3 linked regions of the Arabidopsis thaliana genome follow. The protein of the gene in region 1 binds, or shares a complex with, the protein of each later gene. Each region holds a gene or a part of one and is shown on either strand. Other genes may lie near its edges.

What was found.
Region 2: MAD2 (region 1) and BUBR1 share a complex: the UniProt entries of both Arabidopsis thaliana proteins name them as parts of the mitotic checkpoint complex.
Region 3: MAD2 (region 1) and MAD1 share a complex: the UniProt entries of both Arabidopsis thaliana proteins name them as parts of the mitotic checkpoint complex.

What each region holds. Positions count from the first base shown.
Region 1 is NC_003074.8:9,501,338-9,505,177, reverse strand, and holds MAD2 (DNA-binding HORMA family protein), read right to left. Parts: upstream 2,123-3,840; 5' UTR 1,947-2,122; coding exon 1,871-1,946; coding exon of another isoform or gene 1,867-1,870; exon of another isoform or gene 1,783-1,866; coding exon 1,767-1,782; exon of another isoform or gene 1,666-1,766; coding exon 1,535-1,665; intron 1,453-1,534; coding exon 1,332-1,452; intron 1,238-1,331; coding exon 1,134-1,237; intron 1,039-1,133; coding exon 917-1,038; intron 836-916; coding exon 776-835; 3' UTR 508-775; downstream 1-507. Other genes in the region: AT3G25990 (Homeodomain-like superfamily protein), read left to right, coding at 1-52, 130-332; AT3G25970 (Pentatricopeptide repeat (PPR) superfamily protein), read left to right, coding at 2,957-3,840. UniProt on the Arabidopsis thaliana protein: Required for the execution of the mitotic checkpoint which monitors the process of kinetochore-spindle attachment and delays the onset of anaphase when this process is not complete.
Region 2 is NC_003071.7:14,213,104-14,217,626, forward strand, and holds BUBR1 (BUB1-related (BUB1: budding uninhibited by benzymidazol 1)), read right to left. Parts: upstream 2,952-4,523; 5' UTR 2,816-2,951; coding exon 2,616-2,815; intron 2,528-2,615; coding exon 2,468-2,527; intron 2,352-2,467; coding exon 2,207-2,351; intron 2,119-2,206; coding exon 1,961-2,118; intron 1,880-1,960; coding exon 1,795-1,879; intron 1,706-1,794; coding exon 1,636-1,705; intron 1,560-1,635; coding exon 1,499-1,559; intron 1,382-1,498; coding exon 1,207-1,381; intron 1,113-1,206; coding exon 1,027-1,112; intron 953-1,026; coding exon 866-952; intron 771-865; coding exon 707-770; 3' UTR 501-706; downstream 1-500. Other genes in the region: GALS1 (glycosyltransferase family protein (DUF23)), read left to right, coding at 4,258-4,523. UniProt on the Arabidopsis thaliana protein: Essential component of the mitotic checkpoint. Required for normal mitosis progression. The mitotic checkpoint delays anaphase until all chromosomes are properly attached to the mitotic spindle.
Region 3 is NC_003076.8:20,280,098-20,288,110, reverse strand, and holds MAD1 (mitotic checkpoint family protein), read right to left. Parts: upstream 6,001-8,013; 5' UTR 5,807-6,000; coding exon 5,612-5,806; intron 5,536-5,611; coding exon 5,436-5,535; intron 5,336-5,435; coding exon 5,175-5,335; intron 5,091-5,174; coding exon 4,893-5,090; intron 4,796-4,892; coding exon 4,703-4,795; intron 4,598-4,702; coding exon 4,481-4,597; intron 3,899-4,480; coding exon 3,651-3,898; intron 3,302-3,650; coding exon 3,130-3,301; intron 2,434-3,129; coding exon 2,323-2,433; intron 2,239-2,322; coding exon 2,035-2,238; intron 1,781-2,034; coding exon 1,618-1,780; intron 1,331-1,617; coding exon 1,240-1,330; intron 1,144-1,239; coding exon 1,074-1,143; intron 761-1,073; coding exon 632-760; intron 549-631; coding exon 510-548; intron 426-509; coding exon 336-425; 3' UTR 27-335; downstream 1-26. UniProt on the Arabidopsis thaliana protein: Required for the execution of the mitotic checkpoint which monitors the process of kinetochore-spindle attachment and delays the onset of anaphase when this process is not complete.

The DNA of each region.
Region 1 (3,840 bases):
TCTCTTGACCGAGACATGCCTTTAGGGAACTATATACTCCGCATTGATGAAGGTAAATCCACTCTTTCTTCTATGCTATTCATCGAATACTCTCTGGTTAGAGGTTTCTCAATATCCATTTGAATTCAGGGATAGCCGTTAGAGTGTGCCACTATGATGAATCTGATCCGTTACCAGTCCATCAAGAGGAGAAGATATTCTACACCGAAGAAGATTACCGAGATTTCTTGGCTCGACGAGGATGGACATGTCTGAGAGAGTTTGACGCGTTTCAAAACATAGACAATATGGACGAGCTTCAATCCGGTCGCTTATACAGAGGAATGAGATGAGAAAACGGTTACTACAGAAGGCTAGAAGAAACCTTTTATTTTTCATCAGTCACTATAAATAGCTTTTTTTGATCCAAAATACTTTATTTTCATCAGTCACTGTACATATGCACCTCTTTTGACATGCCATTGTGAATCAGAGGAATTTGATTTGTTTATTGAGAAATCTCTTTTTGATCCAAGAGCCATAAAGTTTGATTGGTAAACAAAACGGTTCAGTACAAGAGACAGGGACAATGAAAAAGCTGATAACTTTTGAACAAAACACAACACAAGTACAGGATTCCAATTCTCATACAATTCAGAAAAAGAAAAAAAACAGAAGAGAAAACGATATAGGTGTGTGAATAAAGGATTCACGTGCCTTTAAGAACAATGAGAACTCCCAAAGAGATAAACGCAAGCTGAACAAAGAGCCTTGCATACGTGTGTCCCGACTTCTGTTACTCTTCTTCATCCCACTCGTCGTTCTTGTATGAGACAAGCGTGTCGACTTTGTGAATCTGCAAAGTATGAAACCACCAAAATACTTAGACATTTCAAAGTGTATAAATAAAGGTTTCAAAATTCTTCCTCCTCCTTACCTTGGTATCAAAACCGTGTAACTTAACCATCTGTGGATTAGCAATCAACTTCGGGTCGCTCTCGATCCAAGTGAATGGAACAGCCACATCAGTATCCGTATACGCCAATACATCAAACACACCTAATACAAACAACATGCACAATCAAAAACGAGAATCCAAATCAAACTAGTTCCGAAATGATGATCACTCAAAGTTCCTATGAATTGGTTCTTACATGTTTCATCAAGACAAGGCAAGTAAGTAACACTTGAAGCAACCTGTCTCATAATAGCTTGAATCTCCCTCATGATCTCCTTATCACTCTTCTCCCTCGACACACTAAAAAGTTCCATAAAGATAACATAATGAAACAAAGAATCAAAGAAAACAAACAAACTTGCGAAAGTATCAACACTAAAAACAAAAAACTGACCCTTTGTCAACAACTTCATTATCAGTCTCAATACGAAAATTCCACCTCTCCAAGACTTCACCAGTAGCTTTACTCATAATCACTAACACTACTCTCTGCAACTTCCCAGCTTCAAGCCATTCTTTAGACCAAAAACAAAATCAAGTCTCAGACTCTCTCACAAAAGGAATCATTGAATAAAAGTCTGACATTTGTAAAATTACCGGAGATCTGAGAAGTGAGATTAGACATGAAAGATTTGACGGATTCATCTTCAATAAGCAACATCGGAAGTCCATATTTCTTCACTTTCACAAAACTTTCCTCTGGATAAACTGCACGATTATACAATATACTGTACCCAGAAACCAATAACGAATCAATTTCACTGTAAAAAAATCACAGAATCGAAGATTTCCAGACACTGAAATTGAAAAGTTCCGATCCAATTCTCACCTGTTCGCAGCGTAACCTGGAGGAAGAAGAAGAAGGAAAAAAAAAACATCAAATCGAGAAGAAGATATCTGAAATTGAGTCTAAGAAAAAATGAAGATACGTACAGAAGAATTCGCTGACGATGGCAGCAGATCCGTGTAAAGTGATGATATCTTTAGCAGCCGCTGTTTTGGACGCCATGGAGTCTAAGGATCGGTGATTTTGAAAATTGAATTCGCAAGTGTTAACAGCGTCGCTTAGGGTTTTAATGATTTTGAAGGGAAAAAAAGATATTTGAGGGAAGGATTAAAAAGAAGGAAAGAAAGAAAAAGAAAAAAAAAGGAATAAGAGCGTAACGGCTAGTCTTCCTCGGAAATGCACTTGCAACGGCTAGTTTGGGTTATTATAGTTTAAGGTCGAATCCACTAATTTTTTTTAAAAAAACAATATAATATCATTACCAGAATTTTTAAAATATCAAATATAAAAAAACAACAAATTATTTTTAGCCAATAGCAACATCTCTACAAACCATTGTAATAATTATTATTTTTGGTTTGCAACACATTTTACATTTAAAAGAAATACACCAAATATTAAATATATAATAACTTTGTTTTAAAAATTTAATAGAAAAGTCCATAGTTTTCTGCCATACGGATTTAGACTCGCCATGTGGTTTTTAACTTTTAAGCCGTATGTCTCTTTGATAAACGAATGAAGCATCAATCAAAATTTTAAGAAGCCTTTTAAGTGTTGAAAGGTAAATTTTGTAGTTTCTATTGGTAAATCGACTCATCTATGACTTTTTTTTTTAAATAGATTTCAAATATACTTCATATATATGTATATATAAATTTATGTCGTGACACCCATGACCGAAATCTAGAAAAAAAAAAAAAAAAAACTAAGGTATTTTTTTCCAGTCTAACTGAAAAAATACAATTTTACAAATAACTCAAACTTCAAATGTGTTTTGATTTACTTAATTAAGCCATTATTAATCCACATAAGGTTATTAACACAAATTTATCAAACTAACTAGCCACTTGATAATCCATTACTAGGTAAATTCAGGTATATATATAAGTTAATAATAAACTGATTATTTGACCAAAAAAAAGCATAATTAAAATATATTTTTATACATAAATAAAATAAAATAAACTCTCTTTGATGTTGACATCATATGAACACAGAGAAACAGATGAATGAAAGCGTTGTTAGCCTCTCTACTAGAGAGCTCTTTAAACTCTTTCCAAAAGCTTTCACTCACTCACTGTTACGCTATTAAATGTGGTTCCATCTCAGATATATACGTATCCAATCGAATTTTGGATTCTTATATAAAATTTGGCTTCTTGGGTTATGCCAATATGTTGTTCGATGAAATGCCTAAGAGAGATTCCGTGTCTTGGAACACAATGATTTCTGGGTACACAAGCTGTGGGAAATTGGAGGATGCATGGTGTTTATTTACATGTATGAAGAGATCTGGATCTGATGTTGATGGGTATAGTTTTAGTAGGTTGTTGAAAGGGATTGCTTCTGTGAAAAGGTTCGATCTTGGAGAGCAAGTGCATGGTTTGGTTATAAAGGGAGGTTATGAGTGTAATGTGTATGTTGGAAGTTCGCTTGTTGATATGTATGCGAAATGTGAAAGAGTTGAAGATGCTTTTGAGGCTTTTAAGGAGATTTCAGAGCCTAACTCTGTTTCATGGAATGCTTTGATTGCTGGATTTGTGCAAGTGCGAGATATCAAGACTGCTTTTTGGTTGTTGGGTTTGATGGAGATGAAAGCTGCTGTGACTATGGATGCTGGCACTTTCGCTCCACTTCTTACTTTGCTTGATGATCCTATGTTTTGTAACTTGTTAAAGCAAGTTCATGCTAAGGTTTTGAAACTCGGGCTTCAACACGAGATCACTATATGCAATGCGATGATCAGCTCTTATGCAGATTGTGGGTCAGTATCAGATGCAAAGAGAGTTTTTGATGGCTTGGGTGGCTCAAAAGACTTGATTTCGTGGAATTCGATGATTGCAGGTTTCTCTAAACATGAGCTAAAGGAATCTGCTTTTGAACTGTTTATTCA
Region 2 (4,523 bases), on another chromosome or scaffold:
CCCTAAAGGGTAGATTGTGAAATGAAATGATGCCCCTACCACTAACACCAAATAAAATTCCCAAGTTTTTTTTTTCATTTGCCCTTGTTTACCACTCAAAGTCTATCTCCAAAATCGCATCATTCGTTTTTAATCATTAATTTAAATGGCTATTAATGCTTGATTATGTTTTATGCCCCCTCCCATCCGTTTAAAGCCACTTTATTTTCTATGGAAGAAATGCCCAATGGATTGATTATCTTTTCTAGTTTGTACCCATCCATACGTATCCATTGATTTACAATGAAACTCTAGAATTTTTCTAAAACAAAGGTACGCTAGTTGCCTAGACGACTAGACCAAAAAATTATTGGGATCACAAAGTCACTTGCCATATAAACCAATGACTTGGCCACATTTAGGGCATTATTAAAATGATTCCTTAAGTTTAATCATAAGTGGTAATCTAGGTTAATTAGTGGAAATTGATATAAAGTTTTTTTTTGTAGAATGATTACTTTAGGAGAAACAAATCATATAAGGATTGAAACAAGACAAGTCACATTAATTTCAAAACATGAAAGGCACATCATGGTACATAGTAGGATAGTATATCCCAGTACATCACAAAAACAAATCCAAATAGGCAAAAACACACAAGGAGCTTTATAGACAAAAGCTCAAATCTCAAACCATAAGATCGTGTAGAGAAGAAAGTCCAATATCATCATCGTAGGAAGCTGTTGGGTGGGAAATGTCTTAAAGGGTTCTGTCGTAGCAGCTCTGTTTCTCTGCATTTTTTTAAGTAACCATTGTTAGATCTCTACCAAGTCATGATATAATATTTGTTTGGTGAATGAATCTTTAGGGGAATTTTTTTGCTTACTTTTTTATCTCACGGCCGCCATTAAGGGGCAGAACGTTTGATGATGATGAGATAGTTTCATCATTCTTCTTCTTTTCTTCTTCCTCTCTGCATTTCAGAATCATGTTAATGGTGGAAACATGTTTTGTTCAGAAAACTTCTGAAAAATTAGTCAAACTTACTCTGTACATTCTTCTTCATCGACAAAAACCTCAAAGGTGGAAGCAGATGCTGCTGCAACAGTTCTCACAATGGGTTTCTGAGGAACCTGTGACAATAAATATAAATGCAGTTAGTGATCAATTTATAGAGATAGTATGAGCCAAGTGAGATAGTTTTGTTTAGGAGGGTAGAGGGAAAACCTTGAATGATGCCCATTTTCTAGGTAAAGAATTGTTTTCTTTGTTCCTCTCTGCTCTGCCTCCAAGCATGAGCCAACTACCAAACTCTGGTCTTGACTTGTCTGACTCTGGTTGATTCCCTGATGTGGTGTCTGAAACTGCATCTGCGTAGATAGCAAAAGGTGTCTTGGATGATCTGCAAAAGACAAAGTTGCTTACCATAGTGAGTTGCAGAATAATTTAAAGGTATGAGTTGATAGAAAATGCAGATAATGAAAACAACGAGAAATATAGAACCAATCAAACTACTTACTGATTTGGCTTTAGCTTTTTGGCTTGTGGGTTAGAACTTCCTAACGCCTGCCTTCTTGCATCTACAGAAAACATTTTCATGTAAGATAGCTTACCAAAACATTTCAGTGGTTTCCAAGTTAAGTTAATGTGACTCACTATTATCTCCCCTGGACAATAAAGTGCCAAAGCTTCTTGACGGTAAGTCATTATTCTCCTTTGGTTCCTGCTGGTAGGTAGAACATTAATTATGATTAGGAAAAACCTTAGTCCATAATGAATAGATATAAAGTGTTACAAAGAGACAAAACTTTTTACTTCATCAGCTGTGTTGGACCTTCTCATCGTTCTCACCATAAACTTCTTGTACGCGTCATTCAACTTTTCCACTGGCTTTGCATCCCTGCACAAGTTCCCACTTTCAAATCAGACCAATAACTTGGAGCCGAAACATGAAAGTAAGATTACATATCTGTTCATTTACCTAGAGATTCCAAGATTGAAGATCTCATTAGCAGTTTTGACCTTATTCTTAAACTCAATGTGCAAAGCATAAGCTATATAGTAGACAGCATGTGTCTTTCCAATCTCATTGACCTCCAAAAACTTGTAAATCACTTCCGCATCAGCGCAATGCTCCGCCTTCAAAACACACACAAAAACTATGAGTACTCTCTCCATAACAAAGAAAGAATCATCTAGAGGGTTTAATTAAAGATAGAATCATTACATATTCCAACCAGACTTTAAGATAACGAAGATCATCCTTGTAACGTTCAGAGTGCCAAAATTTACGAACACATTGCTCATATATCACTAACAGTCCTGAACATTCTCCTCCTGGTGGAAAAGCCTCTTGTACCCATTTTATACACCTTCCAAAGAAACCAATTAAGAAGCTCAGTTTACAAATTGGTCACAGCATAAAGATTGGTTCAAGAAAAATTTCAATTTTTCAACAACCCAATCAAGAATGATAAAAGGAACTCACTCTATCCATGGAGATAAAGGGTCATCTCCTTCATACTCATCAATGGCTTCAATCAAATTCCTAATTCACAAAAACAACACAAAATTAGACAAGAATCGAGCGATTAGACTAAAACCCAAGAGCAAAGATGTGAGATTGAAATCAGTACCTGCGTTTCTCGATGAGATTCTTTCTCAATTGGTGGTCAGAGTGAGATTTGAGAGCGTGGTTGAGAATACCAACATTGCGACCTCTCTTCAATGGCCGGACGTTCTCCTTGAAAAGCTCCCACTCGTATCCAGTCTCCTGCTTCGAATTAAGAAACTCTGCCTCTGGATCTGAAACCTGAACCTTCGTTTCGGCTGCCATCGTCGTTTCTTCGAGCAAATTTTGAATATCAGAGAGAATATAGCCGTTAGTTTACTCAATGAGAGAGCTTCGCAACTTTTTGCTTTGATGTACGCATACTCGGAGCGTATAGACGCTTTTGATGGGCCTAACTTAGATGGGCCATGATTTGATTTCTTAAACCCATTAAGTGGCCATCTAAACCGAATTGTGTATACTCCTACTACAAATAATCGATAAGAGAAGAAAAATGACAATGAGCGAAAGTAAAATAGTAAAAGAAATGACAGAATACACTTCATTAATTCAATTGGCTGAACAAAATAACACAATAATCCAGAGAAAATTATTTTTACTGTTTTGTTTTCTTCTAAATTAGATGGTTTTGGTCTTTTGGAGAATAACAATCAAAGCAAAAGATAAAAGAGAAGATGTACTCTTTTTTTACCTTCTTTAAATAAATTACGAGCATAATTCACTTTTTGACTTGGAAGCTAAAAAAAAGTTCATCCACAACCACAAGATGCTCTCTGTCTGTCGGTTCAACAAGGGATGATCACATACATTGCGTTACACGCTAAACCTAGTGTGCTCAATTATGAATTCCTAAACAAAACGTACTCAAGATTAGAAGTTGTATACAAAGTCTGTTTTTCCATTGTAACAACTTCCACCGACAATAAAACAGTAACAGTTTATTGAAGAAAATGAAATGAAGAAAACATAATAAAAGAATTGATATTTATGGTATCCTTCAGTTTGGGAATGTGACACACATGATCTCCTTTATTGACGTTTAAGTTTGGAAAAAAAAACAAGTCTTTAAATGCATGCAATCGTATTCGCAATCAATATACATTTTGCTTGTTATTACTAAAGTCTAAAACTAAAAGCCTTTTGCCGTACGTTTAAGAATTCCATAACTGGAAGAACAAATCATGTTTTTAATTCAAATGTTTAAAACAAAGTCTACATTCAAAGGAATTTAGAACACACTTTTTTTTTTTACTTTTTGCTGGGAATTCACAAACTCTTTAACGAGTCTATTCACATTTCACCTTTCCGTGCCCAAACTCATTCGATTTCTCTAACCGAAACTAAATCATCACCAAAGAAGGTACACCGTTACGCCAACTTGCCCAAAGGACCATGTGTCCCCACCATGCTGCCAATTGGGAGCCAGCAATACATAAAACAGACTTGATCCAACTTTTTACAAGTTAGATGCAGTGTCTTTTTCGTAAATCATAATAGATCCAAGCCCATTCTCGTATAACCTCCACCACATCACTCCTCATATCATATGTGAGACAGCCACGAGTCTTCTAATTTCTACACGCCGTGTCGGCAAAGCCTCTCGTCACTTCTCTCTGACGCTTGTCGTCACTTTTGAATTTTTTTAATTTTTAAATAATTGATAACCGAAACGGTGCGTTTTACTCACCGTCGTCGGGAAAAAAAACATGAGGAAGGAAGTTTTGCCGCCGGTGTTATCAACCACCACAGTATGTTTCGAGAAGAAACCAATAATTGCTACATTACTAGCTCTCTCTCTCGTCATGATTGTCTGGAACCTTCCTCCTTACTACCACAACCTCATCTCCACCGCTCGTCCCTGCTCCGCCGTCACCACCACCACCACCACCACCTTACTCTCCTCATCGAACTTCACTTCGGCGGAGAATTTCACCACCTCTCTCTCAACGACAACTGCAGCAGCTTCTCAGAA
Region 3 (8,013 bases), on another chromosome or scaffold:
TACATGTAGGTAGTCTGTGTATTATTTGTGTTTTAAATTCATGGTTATATAAAAATCTGTTTGCTTGATATTCAAGTGTTACTGTTTTTGGTGACTATAAAGTAATAAACGCATAATCAGAGAATGACATTAGATATTCTTTCTGAGTAAATCGAAACTAGTTTCTTTCATACCAAAATAGAGTTACTGACACCACAATTATAGCAGACATAACGAACCAGAGGTAGACATAGATAAGGCCAGTGTTTTAAGCTGCGGCTTTCGAGTTTCAGTTTCTATTCAGCAGGCTTTAGAAATATACAAAACACAGAGTTGGAAATAAGGACGCAGTGCTCTCAATATAGCGTCCGACGGTTGAATGATTCCATCGTTAAGTTGGCTGTAAAAGCTGGAATCGAGTTGAATTTCCTGATGAATATTTCTATCTGCAAGAAACACACAGAATGAGTTTTTACACTTCACTGAGAACACTGCGCTTATGAAGGAAGAAAACTATGTCTGTACTTTACCTGCTTCGCTATGTCGCCCTGAGAGGCATACTCATTGTTCTGAAGGAATTAAATCAGTATCAGTTGATTAACTGATTCAAATGCAGCATATCAAAGTTATACAATTTACAAGAATCACTTACTAGAATACTGGTGTTTCCTGACTCGTATTCAAACTCGAGTTTTTCATCATCACTTTGAGCATATATAGACTGGAGAGTAAACCGAGTCACTGGGATTCCATTGGGACGCTGATGTTCGTCCATTACAATCTGCCAGAGTTTTCAAAAGGAATTCACAAGTTTACAAGTTCTGTAGATGAATAAGACTCTTTGATCATCTATCTACACGAATAACGGAAGGTAAGGAAAACTATAGATAGCAATAGCTGAATCCCTCTTTGCAACAGAAACGCGCAGTTCATAGACCGTAAAAAATGGACAAAAGTACGAACATTACATTTTACAATGTGATAGTCAACATTCAGAAAACTGAAATATCCAGAATCATTGCCTTCAGGGAACCATTGTAATGCTAAAGAATAAAATTTGAGTGCTACGACATAATTATGAGCAAGTGGCATACCTTATAACCAAAAAGCTCACAACAAGCCCTTCTAAACACGGAAATTCTATCAGCAAAAACAGTTTTGTACCTGTTTCATAATTCATAGGCTCCACATATGTTTTAGTATGGGAAATCAAGGTCATATTTGCACAAAGGACATGTTAAACATTTATCAGTAACAAACCTCTCTTCACGTTTTTCAAGCGTAGCATTTTGCTCTTTTAGTTGAGCAATCTTTCCAGTTATATGAGAGTCAACTAGCTTCCCAGCATCTCCTGAATATTCATGAAAAAGAATTTACAGTAAAGCATATTTAGTAAATAAGAATAACATTTTTGAAACACTACAATATTTCTTCTCAAGTCCTCCGGAGGCAGATCAACAGAAAGATTTTGGCCCTCCCTTTTATTCTCGGAAACATAGAATATGATGTAGAGAATAGGGTCACAGAGAAATTAAGGTATGCTTCTCCAGTGAATTTTGTGGTGAGAGTAAAATTGAATGGTAGACTTGTAGCAAACTCAGTATCAAAAACAGGAAAGGTCGACAATCAGAAATTTACCAGACTGGCTCTTTAATTCTTCAACAGCTTGAAGTCTTTCTTTTGTCTTCTGTAACTCAGCTTGTAAAGCCTCTATTGTTTGTTTTGCCTCGTTTTCAACACCAAGAGTATTCACCATGCGCAAAACCCTTGTATTTGCGGCAGAATAATCACCATGACCCAGCTGCCAAATATATGTTACTGTTCAGATCAAACTCTAGGGTAGAAGTTAGAGGTCCTAAATAGCATTTCTATTCGCTTTTACAATAATAAAATCTTCCATGAAACCTAAGAAAAACATAAGATGCAGGACATAAAATTCGCCATTCACCCTTAAAAACTTTTATTATTCATTTCGACCATGGCAGATGAAAGTTCCATAAGCAAATATTTTCTTTGGCAATCTTTTTTACAAGCACACATCTCTAGCATCTGTACCTTTGACTCCAGTAAAGAGATCTCAGAGCGAAGACGATCACTATCCCTTTCCAGCGACTTATTCCTCCTTGCTTCATCAACTAGTTTCTCATTTAGAAGTTCTATTTCAGTACGTTGACGATTATTGACATCCTTCAGTTGATTTAGATCCTGCTCTAAATCCTTAATATAGTTCTCCTTCTTTGCAAGAGAAGATTCAAACCCCTGTATATATAAGCAAAATAAGCTTTATGCTTCCAACAAAAAAGAAGGAAAATCTTCAAAATAAGAACTGTGTTATTCTAGAACCTGAATAAGGGCTCCATCTGCGGCTCCAGACACAGATCCTTCACTGTTTGACTTCCTTAATTCATTAACAACAGCTTTCAACTGTTCTTTCTCCTCCGTGACCAAAGTGAGCTTTATTACAAATTAAAGCTCTGTTAGTAATAGTGCAACAAACTGATAGAAAATTATAAAAAGTTACCTCCAATGAGACACTATAAACTTAATTCCCTTGAATTGTGATAGATTCATGATTAAATAAAAAGTTGTTTGCAACAAATTCTATACTACACACATTATCTCTTATCCTGAAAGGACACTATATTATGGATAAATCAACTCATCATAAATTCGTGATAGACTCATGTTTGGATACGAAGGAATTTGCACCAAAATCTAACAATTGAATACACTCATTAGGAACAAACAGACTTTCCCCACATATATAGAGATATTAAATCTGTACTAATTGATAACAAACCCAACGTGAACATCCAAAAATACTAGGGATATTATCCTATGAATATCGTCTCTAACTATATTACTTCTATCAGCTTCTTATGAATGCATAGATCAACAATCAACATGAAATACAGAGCTGAGCTAGTATATATCCAAGCAAAGACAGTGAACCTAGAGAAACCAAGCAAACAATCAATAAACAAGAATAATGAATATAAAATGATGAGCATTTGAGTGTCACCAATTGAAAATGCTATCCTTTATCTCTCGAGAATCAAAAATCAACTTAAGAGGCTTTAATTGATGCCAGCAAAATAAAAGTGCATTTGTGACCCCTTACAGAGCACCAGCAACAATTTTCAAACTTACCATTACTTCAATTCTCTTCACGTCTGTTTTGAGAGCCTCAGATTTCTCTTTCGCTAATGCAGCCTCACTTACAGCATTCTGTCTGCCAAGTTGTATAGCCTCCAGTGTCTCCTCCAGTTGTTTAATACGGGTACTTGCTTCCCCAATCTTCATAGTGCTTTGAACCACCTCACTTCAAAGGCAGAAACACAAGTCACTAGGAAGTATCATAGATACATGTGTTAACTCAGAGTGCTTGGTAAACTAGAAATCAATACTCTAGATGCTCACAGACACATTAGACCTGCTAGACTAGCAAGCCAGAATATCTGTAAAATATAAAGCCATATCTGGACAAAGTGGTGTTACAGATGTCTCTGATAAATACTATCTAGTTCACCTATAAAGTCAGGAAAATGCCCCGTAACAACTACCTCAGTCTCTCCGCACAGAATATTTCATGGCAGGCATAATTATTTGAAACAATATCAGAAGAAGACTCTAGTGAAAAGATAAATTCTGTATAGATCATGTTGACATACTTCTGTAGCACCGAGAATCTCATAACTATGTCATCAGGACAGGACACACCAGGAATGTCATTTAGCAATGACTTCCAAGAGGACAATTCATTCTCCAACTTTTCCATGCTTAGCTGCAAGTCATGAAATTTTGATAACTCTGACTCTGCCCTCTCCCTACGGCTTTGTTCTTCTAATAAGTTCACATTCAACAACTCCGCATCTAAATGCCGTGATTTTAACTTTCTAGCTTCTCGCACTTCAGCTTCCTGATACAATTATCAAGAATCAAAATCGACAAGAAAAACAAAAACTAAATAGATATTACATGGAAAGTATAGAAGTCGAAAATAGAATCTACAAATAGTACATGTCTTCAAATGATGAAAAGTATGTGAGTCGAATTTACGATCAAATTAAAATTTGACTTGCATAACTAGTGTTACATGAAAAATACATCATTCTATATTACCTCACTTTTCTTGAAAAGTAAACTCTTTTACTTATGAATTGTCTTAGATAGCCTAAGTAAATAAGACGACCATTTTAAGAAAAAAAATTTAACGAGTGTTTTGAGTAAATTTCAAGTGTTTAAAAACTTGCATAATCTCTCTCCGTGATTTGCTGCTTATGAGAGTAATCAACAGAAAATAGAAATCATTGATTCTGGGTATGTAATGCAAAGTTTCTCATGGTAATCAAGAACGAGTACAGCTTCTATTGGTGAATAAAACAGAGAGTTATGATCAATGTCCTGACCACTTTCATACTCATTTTCAATAAATGATTCATCTTATGTAACAACTTTGTAAAATCATTACTCGGGTAGACTAAGAACTGGTAAAACTTACATAGCGTTTAAGTTCTTCCTGAAGATGTTTAACCAATACACTGTTATCTGAAGAAGATGCTGCCTCCGAAGTGAATGACGATAGCTTCTTGTCTACTTCAGTCTTTTCTTGCAAACACTGCATAAAAAGAATCATATGAGAAAGCAAAATAAATTACCAAAGCAAATGATGACTTATGACTGGTGTTATTATTATCTAAGATGCACGTCAAACATAGCTTACCTCGTCAAATATCAGTTTAAGATGCTCCAGTTGTGATCTTAAAAGATTTGATTCCGTCTCAGCATTTTGTGCCCTACATTGCATCCTTTCAAGCTAAAAGCAAAGGAAAACAGGTGCAAATACGATAATTGCATGAGAAACCAAAAACAAAACTTCAGTCAAGCTATCAAGTTTCTTAATCGATACTTACATCTGCACCAATCCTAGCCACAGAAAGCTTTGCTTCTTTACCCAGTTGAGCAATATCATTGTTGAGACGTTTCTTCTCCCTGTCCACACTTCCAGATAGCTGAGTTAGTTTATCCTCCAAAAGTTTAGCTTTTTCCTCAGCTGTTGCAGCAGAAGACTCCGCTTTCTTTCGAAGGTTCATTTCATTTTGAAGTTTTACCTATAAGGATTCAGTTAATGATACTGGCACCAATGACACCAAGTAAAACGAGAAATTTCAAGTCAATTTAATAGTTAGATCAACCTCCAGTTCATGGCAAGATTGTAGTTCTTTGGTATACCGCTCTTGAGAATTGTTGATCTCCATAAGAAGCTGCTCCTGAAGCATTTTCTCACGCGCTTTAGCAGCAGCAAGCTCTTGCTCTGAGTATAAGAATTTATCTCGAAAATGCTTTCTTTCAGCATCTGTTGTAGAATATCAAAATCAAATTCGTTAACAACAGTTAAAGCAGAGACATTCGGAATCAAGACCTTTGTAATTTCGAATTCACAAACGATCTCTCACCTGCTTCGGTGAAGTTGGCATTAAGAGTCTGTAATTTGGTTTTAGATTCCTCAACTTGTTTCTCTGCTGTGCTCAAGGCATCTAGAACATCAGCTTTAACCTAACAACAACAAGAACAAACCTCAGATTCGCTAATCTTCGTGAGGGGATATAGATAGATAGGTATAAGTAGTGACCATTTGGCGGCATTGATAGGTGCAAAGATGTTGATCCGCCGAATGATCATGAGAAGTTTGTAGCGGAGCAGGAGCAGGAAGAGGAGAATCTTCGTAGATGATTAGCTGATTGCCGGAACCAGTAGCGCCGGTGGGGAAGGGGCTTTCTCCGGCGTCGGACCTGAGCCTCTTCGGCTGCGGAGTTCTCAAAATCATGTCTGCGTCGAGAAATTAGGGTTCCGTTCTCCGGGAAGCGAGAGAAAAATTATTAGGATTTGAAAATTGAAATTGCAGAGGCGCCACTTTTTTTTCTCGAGTTTGATGAGAGAGCGTAAAGACGGAGGAGCTAGGCCGTGGAAGAAACTGGAAAGGCTTTTCACAACTATTAAATTATTAATCCTTTGTTAATATGTGTCTATTTTGATATATGATTTTTTGCTTTGTTAATTAATGTCTTATACGAAATTTTGTATGAACAAGATGATCAAACTGTTGATTATAATTTAAATCTTTATAAATTTTGGGTTATTAGATTCATCCTACTATATTATTTGGGAAGTACATTTTAAATATAACTTTAATTTTTGTAAGTAATTACATAGGTATGTCATTAGAAATAAAATTTTAAAGAGTAAATTAATTTATCTCTTTGAGGATTAAAAAGTCAAATACTAATTTAATTAATTAAATTTAATTAAAAACGAAATACATTATTAATTTCCAAAAATAATAACCAATCAAAATCAACATATAAGATTTGATATCTAAATTTTAATTAATTTAATTTAATTAGAAAAACAAAATACATTATTAATTCCCAAAAAAGTAACCAATTAAAATCAACAAATTAGATTTGATATCTAAATTATCATATTAATTTTTTATTAATTATTATAGTTTACTTCTCATCTTTATATGATTCTATTTTTGCCGAAAAATAATATCATCATTATAGAAAAATAATTAGAGTTTTTTCGCATATGCCATAATTTGAATTTTTAAAAACGAATATAAACTGTTCAATACATGAAAAAATATTATAACGGGTGAAAAATAGATTTAAGAAAACTTTCTACTGAGTAACATGTCATAATTTGAAATATTTATATTCAATTTCATACATATTATATTGAAAATTTATAATCTTATATACTACAATAATTAATAACATATTAGATGTGATTCAATTTTTAATACAAGCTGGAAAATCCTAGAATTGACGGGATTAGATCGATATTAATACAAGATGGTATACTACAGGTGAAACTCTTAAATTAACAATCAAACTACAAGTGTATAATCTTAAACACTAAACAATATAGATAATATCAAAAAATATATACAACTCACAGTTTACTATACATTTAAAATCAAATAAAATAATATCATATATTTTTAAATCATCTTTACAATAAAAGTTTTTAGTTGAACTAAAATATAAGCCTACCTGCGGTATACTGCAAGTTAATATCTAGATTACAGGGCTTATTGGATCTAAAGACAACTCATCAAAGATTTCCTAAACTGAAGCAAAATATACTGAATATTCAAATATCTATCTGTTACCAAATTATAAACAAATAAGTTCGTAAAACAATTTAATATTTTATATACGAAATCAACTAAATCTTAATCACATAAAATTAGCACAAAAAAAAAGTATTCAACAATTAAAAATTTATCAAATCTCTATATAAGTTTTGATACTATATTCGAATAAAGTGTAATATACCTTTTCAATTTGTATTCTTTAACTAATTTAAGCGAACTAATATATTTGCTAATCATATACCTATCAAAACCGACTATCGTTTCTTATCTCTATAGTATATTTGCAAGACTTTTTTGGTGGATTTGGATAAAAGTGCATATCGTCCTACTATATTATTTGGGAAGTACATTTTAAATGTAACCTTAATTTTTGTAATTAATTACATGACAATGCCATTAGAAAAATTTAATCAAAAACAAAATCTTTTAATGACATCATTAAGATTACCAAAATCATTTAACGACAATATTCATCTCTTAATTATAGGGCTTATTGGATTTAAAGACGGGTCATTAAAGATTTCCTAAACTGAAGCAAAATATACTGAATATTCAATTATCTATCTGTTACCAAATTATAAACAAATAAGTTCGTAAAACAATTTAATATTTTATATACGAAATCAATTAAATCTTAATCACATAAAAATTAGCACAAAAAAATATGGTACATTCGGGTCTATAGTAGTTTTGCAAGACTTTTTTGGTGGATTTGGGTAAAAGTGCATTCGGGTCATATGGTACATTCCCCTATTAAATAAATATGGTGCACTCCTATGTTATTAGCTAAAATGTTTAGATTATAATTCAGACTTATATCATAAATAAAATCAATATTAATAAAATAAATGGCTTTTTGGCAAGACGGATTT